Ovis aries: one gene and its partners. The protein of the gene in region 1 purifies or fractionates together with the protein of each later gene. This does not show direct contact. Links are inferred from orthologs where the notes say so. Each region holds a gene or a part of one and is shown in the gene's direction. Other genes may lie near its edges. The genes, in order: IKBKG, CNTN2 and PIAS4.

Evidence for each region.
Region 2: the proteins of IKBKG (region 1) and CNTN2 purify together in Homo sapiens (affinity purification with western blotting, with the first as the bait; 3 studies listed by BioGRID). This does not show direct contact. The link is inferred for Ovis aries from reciprocal best matches to the Homo sapiens genes IKBKG and CNTN2.
Region 3: the proteins of IKBKG (region 1) and PIAS4 purify together in Homo sapiens (affinity purification with western blotting; 5 studies listed by BioGRID, with this or other methods). This does not show direct contact. The link is inferred for Ovis aries from reciprocal best matches to the Homo sapiens genes IKBKG and PIAS4.

Annotation. Positions count from the first base shown.
Region 1 is NC_056080.1:79,920,932-79,924,674, reverse strand, and holds the start of IKBKG (NF-kappa-B essential modulator), read left to right. Parts: upstream 1-1,520; 5' UTR 1,521-1,613; intron 1,614-1,929; exon of another isoform or gene 1,930-2,734; intron 2,735-3,743. UniProt on the Homo sapiens protein: Regulatory subunit of the IKK core complex which phosphorylates inhibitors of NF-kappa-B thus leading to the dissociation of the inhibitor/NF-kappa-B complex and ultimately the degradation of the inhibitor.
Region 2 is NC_056065.1:2,672,035-2,675,777, forward strand, and holds the start of CNTN2 (contactin-2), read left to right. Parts: upstream 1-1,244; 5' UTR 1,245-1,399; intron 1,400-3,743. UniProt on the Homo sapiens protein: In conjunction with another transmembrane protein, CNTNAP2, contributes to the organization of axonal domains at nodes of Ranvier by maintaining voltage-gated potassium channels at the juxtaparanodal region. May be involved in cell adhesion.
Region 3 is NC_056058.1:17,802,828-17,806,570, reverse strand, and holds the start of PIAS4 (E3 SUMO-protein ligase PIAS4), read left to right. Parts: upstream 1-1,424; 5' UTR 1,425-1,449; coding exon 1,450-1,476; intron 1,477-3,743.

The DNA of each region.
Region 1 (3,743 bases):
AAGAAAAGAATTCAAGATTGGTAAAGGCTTGACCACATACTTCACAACAAGAAAAATCAATGGTTACTTAACACACAGGAAAGTGGTCAAGATGACCAGTTGTCACAAAAATACAAATTAGACCACAATGAGATCCAGCTTGACCTTCACCAGTAGGTTGTAATCTGAAAAAACTAACCCCATCTGGTGTTGGAGGTGGTGTGGAGGAAACACTTGCACCAGGGTTCACAGCAGCCATAATTCCCAACAGCCCTGAGCTGGGACACAGTGAAAGGCCATCAACAGGGGATGGACAAGCTGGATATCTACACAGTGGGACACCTACTCAGCAACACCAAGGGATGAGCCAGGGGGATTCCCTGGTGGTCCAGTAGTTAGGACTCCACCACAGGGGTTTGCGGGTTTGATCCCTGGTAGGGGAACTAAGATCCTGCAAGCCACGCAGGGGGCAAGAACAAAGATTACAAACCAAGAAAAAAGGGATGAGCCAGTGGCCTACTCAACACAAGCAATTCTCAGAACCAGAATGCTGGACACACAAGGCTCAACACCCTGAGTTCATTTAAGGGAAGCTTTAGAAAAGGCAAAGCAGCCACAGTGACAGAAGTGAGAGTCCACAGCAGGAGGTGGACTGGCTGGGGAGTTGGAAACGTTGCCTCTGGTTATAAAGGTCAGAACCGATTGGACAGAGAAGATGTCTTTCGATGTGTACGAATGTTGCCTACAAATAAAAAGACTGAAAAGAACAACTGAGCAGACGGCGGGCGGTGCTTGCTGTTGACCATGTGAAACTTTCCAAGATAATGGCAAGTGTGTGAAGACAGCAACTGTGAGCAACAACATTGTCATCCCACGAAGTCACCCAGTCCCTTCTCTCCAGGCCGGTTTAGCTGCCATAGCCACGGCTACCTGCTTGCTTTTGGTGACCTGACAAAGGAATTCTCCACTCTGGGTGGAAGAGGTGGTGAGCCTGGGCATGGCCTGGGTGAAGAGCAGGTGCCCTTTTATGCCCCCTGCCCTGTCATCAGTGAGGGCTGCTGGGCAGAGCTGCTAGACTCGCCCCGGGCAGGAAAATCACCTCCAGGGGTGAGGACCTGAGTCTTCAGGGCAAAATGACCCTTTAAGAGTCATGTCAGCACTGGACGCAGTCACATCTGTGGACTGTTGCAGAGAGGAGCCGCAGGACCAGAACCGATTGCAATCTGCACCCCTAGACGGGCCATGAGGACGGTAGTTGGGGAGCTACCAGGTGGGTGAGTCCTCCCCTGGCTGGGGGCGATGGGGGCCACTTTTGAGGCTAGCATGCTCAATCCCCATTTGTGGCTTCACCCTCTGTCTCCTGGGCTGAGCCAACATCTGCACGTGGACAAGTCTGCTCCGGCCCAGGTCTTGGCTAGTGCCCAGCCCACACGGGCCAGTGTCTCTCCGCCACCTCCGGGCTCTAGCGGAACCTGGAGTGCTCCAGTGGGTGGTTCCCAAACCAGGGTGCCCTGTGTTGCAGCCCCCGCCCCCTGTCTGCCAGCCACTTAGAACTGATTGCTGAAGGCTCTGGAGCAGGGCCCCCTCCTGCCGGCCACCTTCCCTGGGAAGCCTGGAGATAACAGCGCCTCAAGGTCAGTCACTGATCCCTGGCTGGGGTCTCCCTGGAGCCCAGCTGCAACCCCTGTGGCCCCTCTCCTCCCAGTGCCCAGCAGTGCCCGCTTTCCGCTGACCCCTCCTGTTGCGGGGCTCCAGCAGGAGAAGCCATCAGTCCCCTGTCGGCGGGCACCTCCTGGCCCAGAGGAATGTTTGCTTCCGGTCAAATTCCAGTGGGTTAGTGTCCTGTCTGCTGAGTCACGGTGCCCTACACCCGACTGCCCTCACCGGTCCATTTGGGATTAGCAAGGGGTGGAACCTGCTCGCCTTGTTCAGCTCAGCCCTGCCACCAGCGGCCTGAGTCACTCACCCAAGGGAGGAGTGAGGTAGGACCCAGACGGGGGTGGGGGCACAGAGGCCTAGGAGGCCCCCCTACCCAGCAGCCTGGGCCTGGTTGCACTGCTGGAGGTAACATGGGCTGAGAGCACAGTGCTCGTGGGGTCTGGAGGAGTCTGGGGCCACGTGGTGACTTAGCAGCAGGAGCAGGGCCTGCTGCAGATTTCCAGCCACCTGCATCTGGCCTGCCAGCACCCTGATCTTATCTCAAGTCTCCAGTTTGATGAGCCCTTGGTCTCGAAGGGTGTTAGGGTGGAGCACGTGACAGTAGAAGTTGGGAGGCCGGGCAGGGGTGGGCTCTATCCCCCTCGAGGCAAGATCTGCCTGGCCTCCCTCCTGGGCCGCGGGGCTCATGACTCATCAGCCCTTTGGGGGAGCGCCAGAGTCACCGTGACACAGCAGGAATCTTATCGCCCCAGGAGGTGAGGCGGCCCAGAAGCACCCCCTGAGGAGAGAGGGCCCGGGTCCTCCAGCTCAGCCCTGGCAGGACCCCGTCTCTGGGCTGGGCCCTGGAGCACTCATCGAGCCCATGGCCCAGATGGGGAAACTGAGGCCCAAAGGCAAAGACCGCCCTGCAGAACCTGCACTGAGCCACTTCTGCCCGAGGGGGCTCCTCGGCCTGATCTTTCTCTCATCTCAATCGCTCTGTTTCCATTGGGGGTTAGAGTGGCTCCAGCCTGGCAGGCCCAGGGTTCCTCTCTCAACACTGGTCTGGAAGGAGAAACGGGGTTCCTGGGTTCCAGAGGCCTCCAGACCAGGTCCTGTAAGTACGTCCACTGCCCTCCTACTGAGGGTGGGAGTCTGGAGGAGGGAGTAGGGAGCGGCTGCAGCTACAAGGCCATCAGGTAACTCCTCAGGCTGGCCTTCGGACGGGGCGGAACCTGGGCGCGTGGGTGCGGGGTTGGGCAAAGCCGGCAGGGAGGAGAGGGGCGGAAGACAGCTCATCCTTTTTGGAGTCGCAGGCTCCGCTCCGAGGCCCTGGCTCTGCGGACCTTGGCGCCTCCCAAGGCCTGGGGTGTGAAGGCCTGGCAGTGTTTGCTGTCACATGCACTCACCTTCAGGCCCAGCCCCCAGGCACGGCTCCCACAGTGGGGGGGTGGGGGGGCCTCAGGGCAGGTGCCTGCTGTGCTGTGAACTCCTTGGTCTCCCAGAGTAACAGGTTTGTGCCGCCTGCCTGCCTCCCACATATCCCAGCAGGAAGGGGAGAAACAAAACAACAGAAAAAACAGGCTCTACTTCAGAGGCCCTGGTACTCCCCCACCCCCCGCCCTGCTGGCTGCAGCTGGCACTTCCTCTTTCTGCCCTAGAAGCCTCTGCTGATTGCTCTTGGAACAGAGAAGAGCAAAGGGGAACTACTCGGGTTGCAAAGAAACAATGTTGCCCAATGCCAAGGCCACCACACGTGAAGGCAGGGAGGAGTCACCAAATCAGCTCAGCAGAACCCTGGGGCCCCTTGGTGCTCCAAAGACTTCCATTGCCAAGTGGAGACTGTGGGGTTGAGAGAGGAGGAGACACTTGGCCCAGGCCACAGAACACACTTGGATGCTCTCACTGAGGTGGTTTAATCGGAGTTGAGGATCTAGGGTCATAGGCAATTTACTAAGGCTGGGGACCCTCTGCTGGAATGTCTTGGGACAGGCTGGGATGGGGATGGGGGAAGGAGGAAAAATAATCCTGAGTAACTTTCTCTGTCAACCTATTTCTTGGACCAACTCCGAGGTGTTAAGCTTTCTGGTGCCTCGAGGGATGAGGCTGGGGCCAGGGTGGGGGCT
Region 2 (3,743 bases), on another chromosome or scaffold:
TGTCGACCCAGCCCCGTCCCAAGCCTCTGTGTCCCTCTCCACTCAAAGATACATGGAGCCACACTCCAGGCTTGACAGCTATGTCCCCTGAAAGCTCTGATGGCCACGCTCCAGGCTTGACAGGTATGCCCCCTGAAAGCTCTGACGTTGGCGTGGCCCCACCAGCTGCTTCAGCATCTGGACCGCTCACTGGTCTCATCTGTGTGAGCTAGACAGCAGGTGGACCGGGATGGGGACACAGTGACAGCCTGCCGGGCCGCGGCTGCCACAGACGGCTCGTCCCTCCTCCTCCAGGCCCCAGCCTCCCGGGGCACGCCTGCCACACGACAGGAGCAGAGAGCGGGAGACGCGCTGCTCACCAGTGAGCACCTAGAGTCTCAGAGCCGGCAGGGACCCTGGCCACCGTTAGCCCCTTCAGGTTATCAGTGAGGCTCAGGAAGATGACACACTCAGCCTAGAACACTCAGTTGAGCTAGTCGCAGGGCCCAGACTGCCTTGCAGAGACCCAGACTCAACCTAGTGGTCTTTTCATGACAACACACTGCGGGCTGGTTGAAAGTGTGAAAAGCGGCTCAAGGTCTACTATATAATTTTAAAATATTTTGTCAATCAATGATATATGAGGTGATCCATCTGCATAAAATAATACTAATAATCCATGTAATTATTTACAGGAAAATAATAAACCCGGAGGCATGTAATTTAAATCTGTTAAGGTACATTCACTATCTATGTTAAAATTTCCTCTACTGTTCGGTTATCTTGACCAAGAGCCCACCTTACTCTCATAAACGGGAAACAATAAAGACGATCGGAGGCAGCCCTCCACCCCACTCGGCCCGCACCTCATTTCTAATTTGCAGCCCTTCCTCTAAGAGTCGATTCCATGGAGTTTGCTGCCATGGATCTCGGGTTTGAGGACTAAGCTGCTCTCTAGTACTTCCTCAGCGCACCCTCTGCAGCCCTTCAGCTCGGCGCTGGGCAGGGAGGGCGGGGGCAGAGGCCAGGCGGCGCGGGGGCTGAGCCGCCCGAGCCCCACGGAAGACGCGCCCGGCCCTTAAACACGGGAAGCAAATGAGGTGAAGCAGGGCGGCTGGGGAAGGGAGGGGCCGGGGCGCGTCTCCAGGCTGAGCCCGCGCCAGCCAGTGAGCGGCGCCGGCGAGAGGGAGGAGCGCATCTCGGTGCAGAGATGCTGCAGTGAACCGGCGGCACACAGGCGCACACAGGCGCACACGCGCACACGCGCGCCCTCGCCCGCCGCTGCACCAGGTCGGCAGCGAGCGCTGGGGCTGAGGGAGCGGAGCGGAGGAGGGCGGCTCGGGCCGGCAGCCCGGCTGGCTCGGCTCCCCGGCGTGAGCGGCGTCCCCCTTCCCCGGCCAACACCCTCCTTGCATCCCAGGTAGGTGCCAGCCGCTTTTGTCTCCTCCAGCCCAGGGGCTTCCCGGGGCACCGCTGTGGGCAGGGGCTGGGCGCTCAGTTCCTTTGCGGGGAGCAGGGCACAGGGCCAGAGCAGAAACCCCAGCTGGCTGGCAGGGGCTGTCTGACTTCTCACCCCAGCCCCCCAGGGGCCGCGGAGACCGAGACCCCCTCCGCCCTGTCGACGTAGGTGGCACCCTGCAGGGCCCTGGCAGGCCAGGCCTGGCCGGCAAGCTGAACCCCAAGAGTGTGTCCAGGAGCTCAAGCCACAGGCTGGCAGCAGTGACTGCCCCCAGAGTGGGCAGAGGCCACAGCCCTGCCCTGTGCCCCTAGCCCAGGGCTTGACTGTCTGTGAGTGAGGCCAGGCCCCCGTGCCCTGGCCTGCCCTGTCCCTGGATGGGAGCAAACCTGACTGGCCGGACGTGAGGCCGCGCTGGCCTGCCTGTGCAGGGTGACCTCTTTATAAAGTCCTGCTTCTGTTAGACTGAGGGGGAGGCTGCAGGAGGTGAGGGGAGACTGGAGCGCAAGTTTAGGCAAAGGCCTGTCCAGGAGCCCGGACTTAGGGAGGAGAACCTGGGTCAAGTCACATCCCTTCTGCCCTGCCCACCCTCCTCGTCTCCTCGGGCCACCCCATCCTCGCCGGTGGCGGTGAAGGAGGTGCAGAAGTTTGACTTCCCAGCAGGGGAGGGGATGGGCCGGAAGGGAGAGAGCTGCCAAGTCGGGGGTCTTGAAAGAGAAGGCAGTCCTATGGGCCAGAGGCAGAGGGGGTTGCGCAGCCATCTCCTCCTCCAGGAGGGGTCCCCACGTCTGGGGAGTGGAAGGGGGTGAGCTGAGACAGCGCCTGTGGAAGGAGAGTGTTCGCGCCGCGCAGGGACAAAGCCACAGACGGGTGGGGGCTGAGCCTGAGTCCTAGGGGAGAAGCTGTCGGTCCAGGCTGTTTAGAGGTTGGGGAGCTGTGAGTGCCCATGACCCCTGCCCCGGAGAATCTGGGCTTGCTTGCCCCCAGGTTTCCTGCTCCTAACTTCCCCCTGCTTCACATCCAGCCTGCAGTGGGTCAGACTCCTCTCACCCTTGCCTTCCGGCCTGACCCCCAAAGCCCCAGCCTCCCTCCCCAGCCCAGCTGGCATCCTGTCCTTCTGCCTGGAGGGAGGCGAGAGGAGGAAGACTCCACGTTAGCCAGGGTGTCGCTGGTCTGATCACATTCCCGGCGGCCGTCTGGGACTCCTCTCCCAGCCTCCCGGCCAGAGAGCCCACCCGATGGGACCGAGGGCAGAGGGGGTGGGCCGGAGGTGGGGCAGAGACGTGCCCGACCCTGGCCTTGGGAGCAGGGAGGTCCATGCCCCACCCGGGGCCCACCACCTAACCCTCTCCAGCCAGGCTGCAGGTCCCCTCGAGGATGGCTTTCACCTGAGGTCAGAGTTCTCTCTCCTTCCTCATGAGATCTACCAGGAGCTCCCAGCCATCAGGAGGGGGCTGAGGTGAGACAGACATGGAGGGGCCGCTGTGCCCACGGCAGCAAAGTCCCCGATGCCCCCTCTCCTTCTGGGGCCCCCCTGAGTGGCGGGGGACGCAGAAGCACACTGCCCGAGCAGAGGGGCCCTGCTTATTCCCCTCTTACTCCCCACCCAGTGTCTACACCGGCAAGCTCTCTCCGCACGGTCCCTGCCGGTCAAATGCACGCCCCCACCCCACACCATCCCCCCCAGCCCCGGATTTCACTCCCTTATGCAACTCCGTTCCAACACCTTCTCTGCCAGAGCAGTTTAAATAGACGCGTGTGGGAAGGGCCTCTGAGGCAGTGCGCTCAGCAGGGTGGTCTCTGACTGGCTGACCAGACTCGCTCCTCAGGAGCAGTACTAAGAAGGAGGTGCCCGCAAAGTGTCTTCTTTGACTTGAAGACCATTGGGGAAGCCACGCCCTTTGAGAAGGCACAGTGCCCCCACCCTCAGAGATGTCCTCGGCCAAATGTTTGTGAGAAAGCTTGTCTCAGAAGCCTAAGGTCAGAACCACAGGGTTGATTCACAGGAAAAGAACTAGAGCAACAGATACGCCAATGAAGCAAGAGAGACTGAAGCTAGACTGCAGGAGCGACTTCCTCACCAGGACGATGAGCCATGAAGAGTTGGGGCAGCCTTCTTTCCCATGACTGTGTGAGGGGCGGGGACGTGGGGTCCGGGCCAAGCTGAGAGGCACTTCTGCCTGGAGTAGAAGTTGGGCTGGATGACCCTGTAAATTTCTCCCAGCCTCAGGTCATCCTGCAATAAATACAGGCAGGAGTGACTCAGGAATCCATGGGCAGACAGGCATCCTTTTCTCTCCCTCTTCCA
Region 3 (3,743 bases), on another chromosome or scaffold:
AAAAAAAAAAAAAGAAAGTAACTGTAAGAAAAGTAAAACAAAACCCTGCTGAGTTACAGTTCTGGTGAGGCGAGGGAAGTCACTTATACAAAGTTGTATAACCTCTTATAGCATATTAAAAAGCAGAGACATTACTTTGCCAACAAAGGTCCGTCTAGTCAAGGCTATGGTTTTTCCTGTGGTCATGTATGGATGTCAGAGTTGGACTGTGAAGAAAGCTGAGCGCCGAAGAATTGATGCTTTTGAACTGTGGTGCTGGAGAAGACTCTTGAGAGTCCCTTGGAATGCAAGGCGATCCAACCAGTCTATTCTAAAGGAGATCAGTCCTGGGTGTTCTTTGGAAGGAGTGATGCTAAAGCTGAAACTCCAGTAGTTTGGCCACCTCATGCGAAGAGTTGACTCATTGGAAAAGACCCTGATGCTGGGAGGGATTGGGGGCAGGAGGAAAAGGGGACGACAGAGAGTTGGTGATGGACAGGGAGGCCTGGCGTGCTGCGATTCATAGGGTCGCAAAGAGTCAGACACGACTGAGGGCTGAACTGATACTCTCTTAAATTTTATTATTTTCTTCATCATGGCTATTTCTGCATTTTTATATAAAAATTAGTAACTTGATAACTGAGTCATTTGGCGCGCTTCATTTTCTCAAGGGATGGGCCCCGAAATACGTTTTTATCCTCTTGCTTTCTTTGACACAAGAAAGTTTGGGCTTAGCAGCTCACCGACACTGGGGAGCCACGGAGAGCTCTAAAGCTGGTAAATTTCCGATTAGCGCAAATTCCAAAGGTTTACCGTGGGTGGAGAGGCGGAAGTGGGCGGGAGGGTGGTCACCTGCACCGCGGGAATTGGGTAGGGGGTACAGCATTTCTCCGCCGGCGGCGCACCAAGGGGGTGTGGCGCCCTCGCCCTCTCAGCCACCCCAGGACCCGGATGTACAGCGCGTGGGGCTCCCGGCCCGCTGAGAATGAACCGCGCTGCGCTCCACGGCGCCTCACTGCACGCAGTGGCGGCCGCTGCGCGGGCCAACCATTTTCTCCCTCCTGGCAGCGAGGCGTCCGGTCACGCACCTGGAGGCTGCCTCGCGCAGGAGACCGCGACACCTGGCTGCATTGTTGTCGCCTCAACTGTCTACTCTCTCGTCAGACAGGACCCAGTATCCGCCCCAACCTGTGCCGGCCTTGTACCCCTTTAAGAAACCAGACACGGCCAGGGGTGGGCGTGGTCACAGTGAGTGAAACGGGGAGGGTGGGTGCGTAGTCGGGCAGCCCTGATTGGCCGGAGGCCCGGGCGGTGCCGCGCGCGCTTGCGCAGTGCGCGGTCGCGCGCGCCAGAGGGGAGGAGGGCGCGAGGGTGATAATTGGCCGCGGCGCGGGCCCCGCCCGCGAATGGAAGGCGATCACGTGACGCGACGGCTGGGGGCTCCCGGCGCGGGGGACGCTGGTGGCCAAGATGGCGGCGGAACTGGTGGAGGCCAAAGTGAGTGAGCGGCGGCGGCGCCGGCCAGGGCGGGCGGGGGACGGGGGTCGGGCGGCAGCCCGAGGTCTGTGCCTTCCGCTCGGGGCCCCACGGCGCGGCCCGCCTGCGGCTCGGCGTCCTGCCCCCTCGCCCGTCCCTGGCCTGGGGGCTCCGGTTGCGGGCGGGGCGCGGGAGGCCGGGGGCGGGGCCCCCAAAACCTCACCCCAGTCTCCGAGCAGGGGGTTCGGCCCCCCCAGGCGTGAGGTTGGGTCCTCCCCTCTCCAACCCTAGCGACTAGGGTCCAGATCGCGCTGAACGCAGGCACAGGGCCGCGCCTCCAGCTTGAGGCACATTCCCCCCGGACAGCGTGACGGGTTGGGCTGCTCGTCCCTTCCTCGAGGTCGGCGCTCTTTGGCTTGGGGGAGTGTCCGCCTCTCACCGCTTCCCATGGTATAGTGGGCTGGCATCTGGGTCTCAAGTCTCCTCGCCCAGCTGATCAGGCTGCGCTTGGCGGCTCTCTGCTCGGAAGGGTCCTCTGAGTTTTCTGCCACGGGTGATGAGCTGGGGATCCTGAACCGCCCCCAAACACAGGGTGTCTCTTGAGGGTCTGTACCCCAGGCTGGGGTTTAGAGCCCTTATTCAGCTCCCGCTCTGGTCCCAGAGCCCCGCCCCCTCCTGACACCCTTCTCACCCCGGAGTGAGCGCGGTGTTAACTGAGCTTGCCTTCCTGAGCTTGCCTTCCCGGTGTGATGGAGCCTTGGTCCTGGTGTCAGCTCCTTCCTAACTCTTTTCTCTCAGTCACAGGTCCTGGGTTTTGCGTTCCTTCTCACTCTTTCTCCTCCCGACAGCATTTGTGCAGCTGTGAACTCTGCTCCTGGGAGCCCTAGACTCCACACTCGGAGGATCAGACCCCGTTTCCAACCCCAGCTGCTTCCCTTATACTCAGGCCATCACGAGTCTACTGCTCAGACCACACTCCGCACACAGCCTCTCTTTAGATCTGTTTAGACAGCCCAGCTCTGGCGTCTGAGGCCCTGCTCTTTCTGCGGGTCTCTTACGTTGATCCTTGGAATGTCCCCAGTTGATTGCAAGGTTCTTTAAAATGGTTCCTAGTCTGTCTCCCCTGCATTGCTGTCTGGGGTCCACATTCTACATCCCAAGGATGTTACTCCTTCTAGCTTGAGGCCCCTTTTAACCGTCTTGGCACTAAGCTGGGTGCATCTCTCTCCCAGGGAAGTATCTACTGTCAGAGGCCCCTGTGAGGTGAGGCTCCAGAACCCTTGCCCCTGACTAGGCTAGGTTCTTGCCTGAGAAGTTTACTCAAGGCCGCTCATCTTTCGGAGGTGGGGAAGGGACCTAGCAAGACAGGCCCCGCCCCCTCCCCCGCTGATCTTTCCTCCCAGGGGTCCTGACCTGTAAATGTTTTCTCTCTCTCGCTCCTCCCTCTCCCTCCGTCTCCCTTTGCTTCCCACGGGGATCTGAAATACAGCCCTCATGGTTCTGTGATTATCCAGTATTACTCTCCCTTCACCCCTGAGTGCCCTCCACCTATACCTGCATCACACATGCGGCCACCGCTCTGTTTTGAGAAATTGAGAGTTGCCCTAGAGATGCAGGGGTCCGAACCCTGCCAGCCCAAGGTGGCATCCTATGGCCTGAAGTCCCCTGGAGCCCTGAAATTTAACTTCCTCAGGGCACTGTGGGCCTGTGGCTCTAGATGCAGGCCTGCCACTCCAGCCAGAGAGTAGGGTCTGAACTATTATACCATCTAGGGCCTTGAAATATGATCTGATGAACTCTACTTGACCCTTCCATGACTGGGGCCCCCTCCCCAATTAGATCAGATTGATCCTTTATCAAGTTCTCTAAACCATGAGCCTCTGTCCTAGGGGGTCTCAGAACTGCCACCCAGCCTTCTCTGATCCTCTGGAACCTTCCTGCTTCTTCAGCACCTTGCTGTCCCCATGGAGTGCTTTACATGTCATTGAAATAACCCCCTCTTTGAGACACTTTCTTAAACCTTTCATAGTGATAACCAGAGACTTATCTTTTGGGATGGATGCAAAATGGGCTGATCTGAGAGGAGAGCAAGGGGGACTTATTCATACACTTGGAAATCTGAGACTCTTCACCTGAGGCCCCTGAGAGGGGTTGCGGGGAAGGGTTGGACTGGGCACTCCCCTAGAGGGTGTGTAGCCATATGCGCTGAGTTCTGAGTTCCTGCAGTGAGGAGCCCCTGTTCAGTTGAGTGTGACTGTTGTATCCAGGCCGCTGTTTCTCCATGCGGC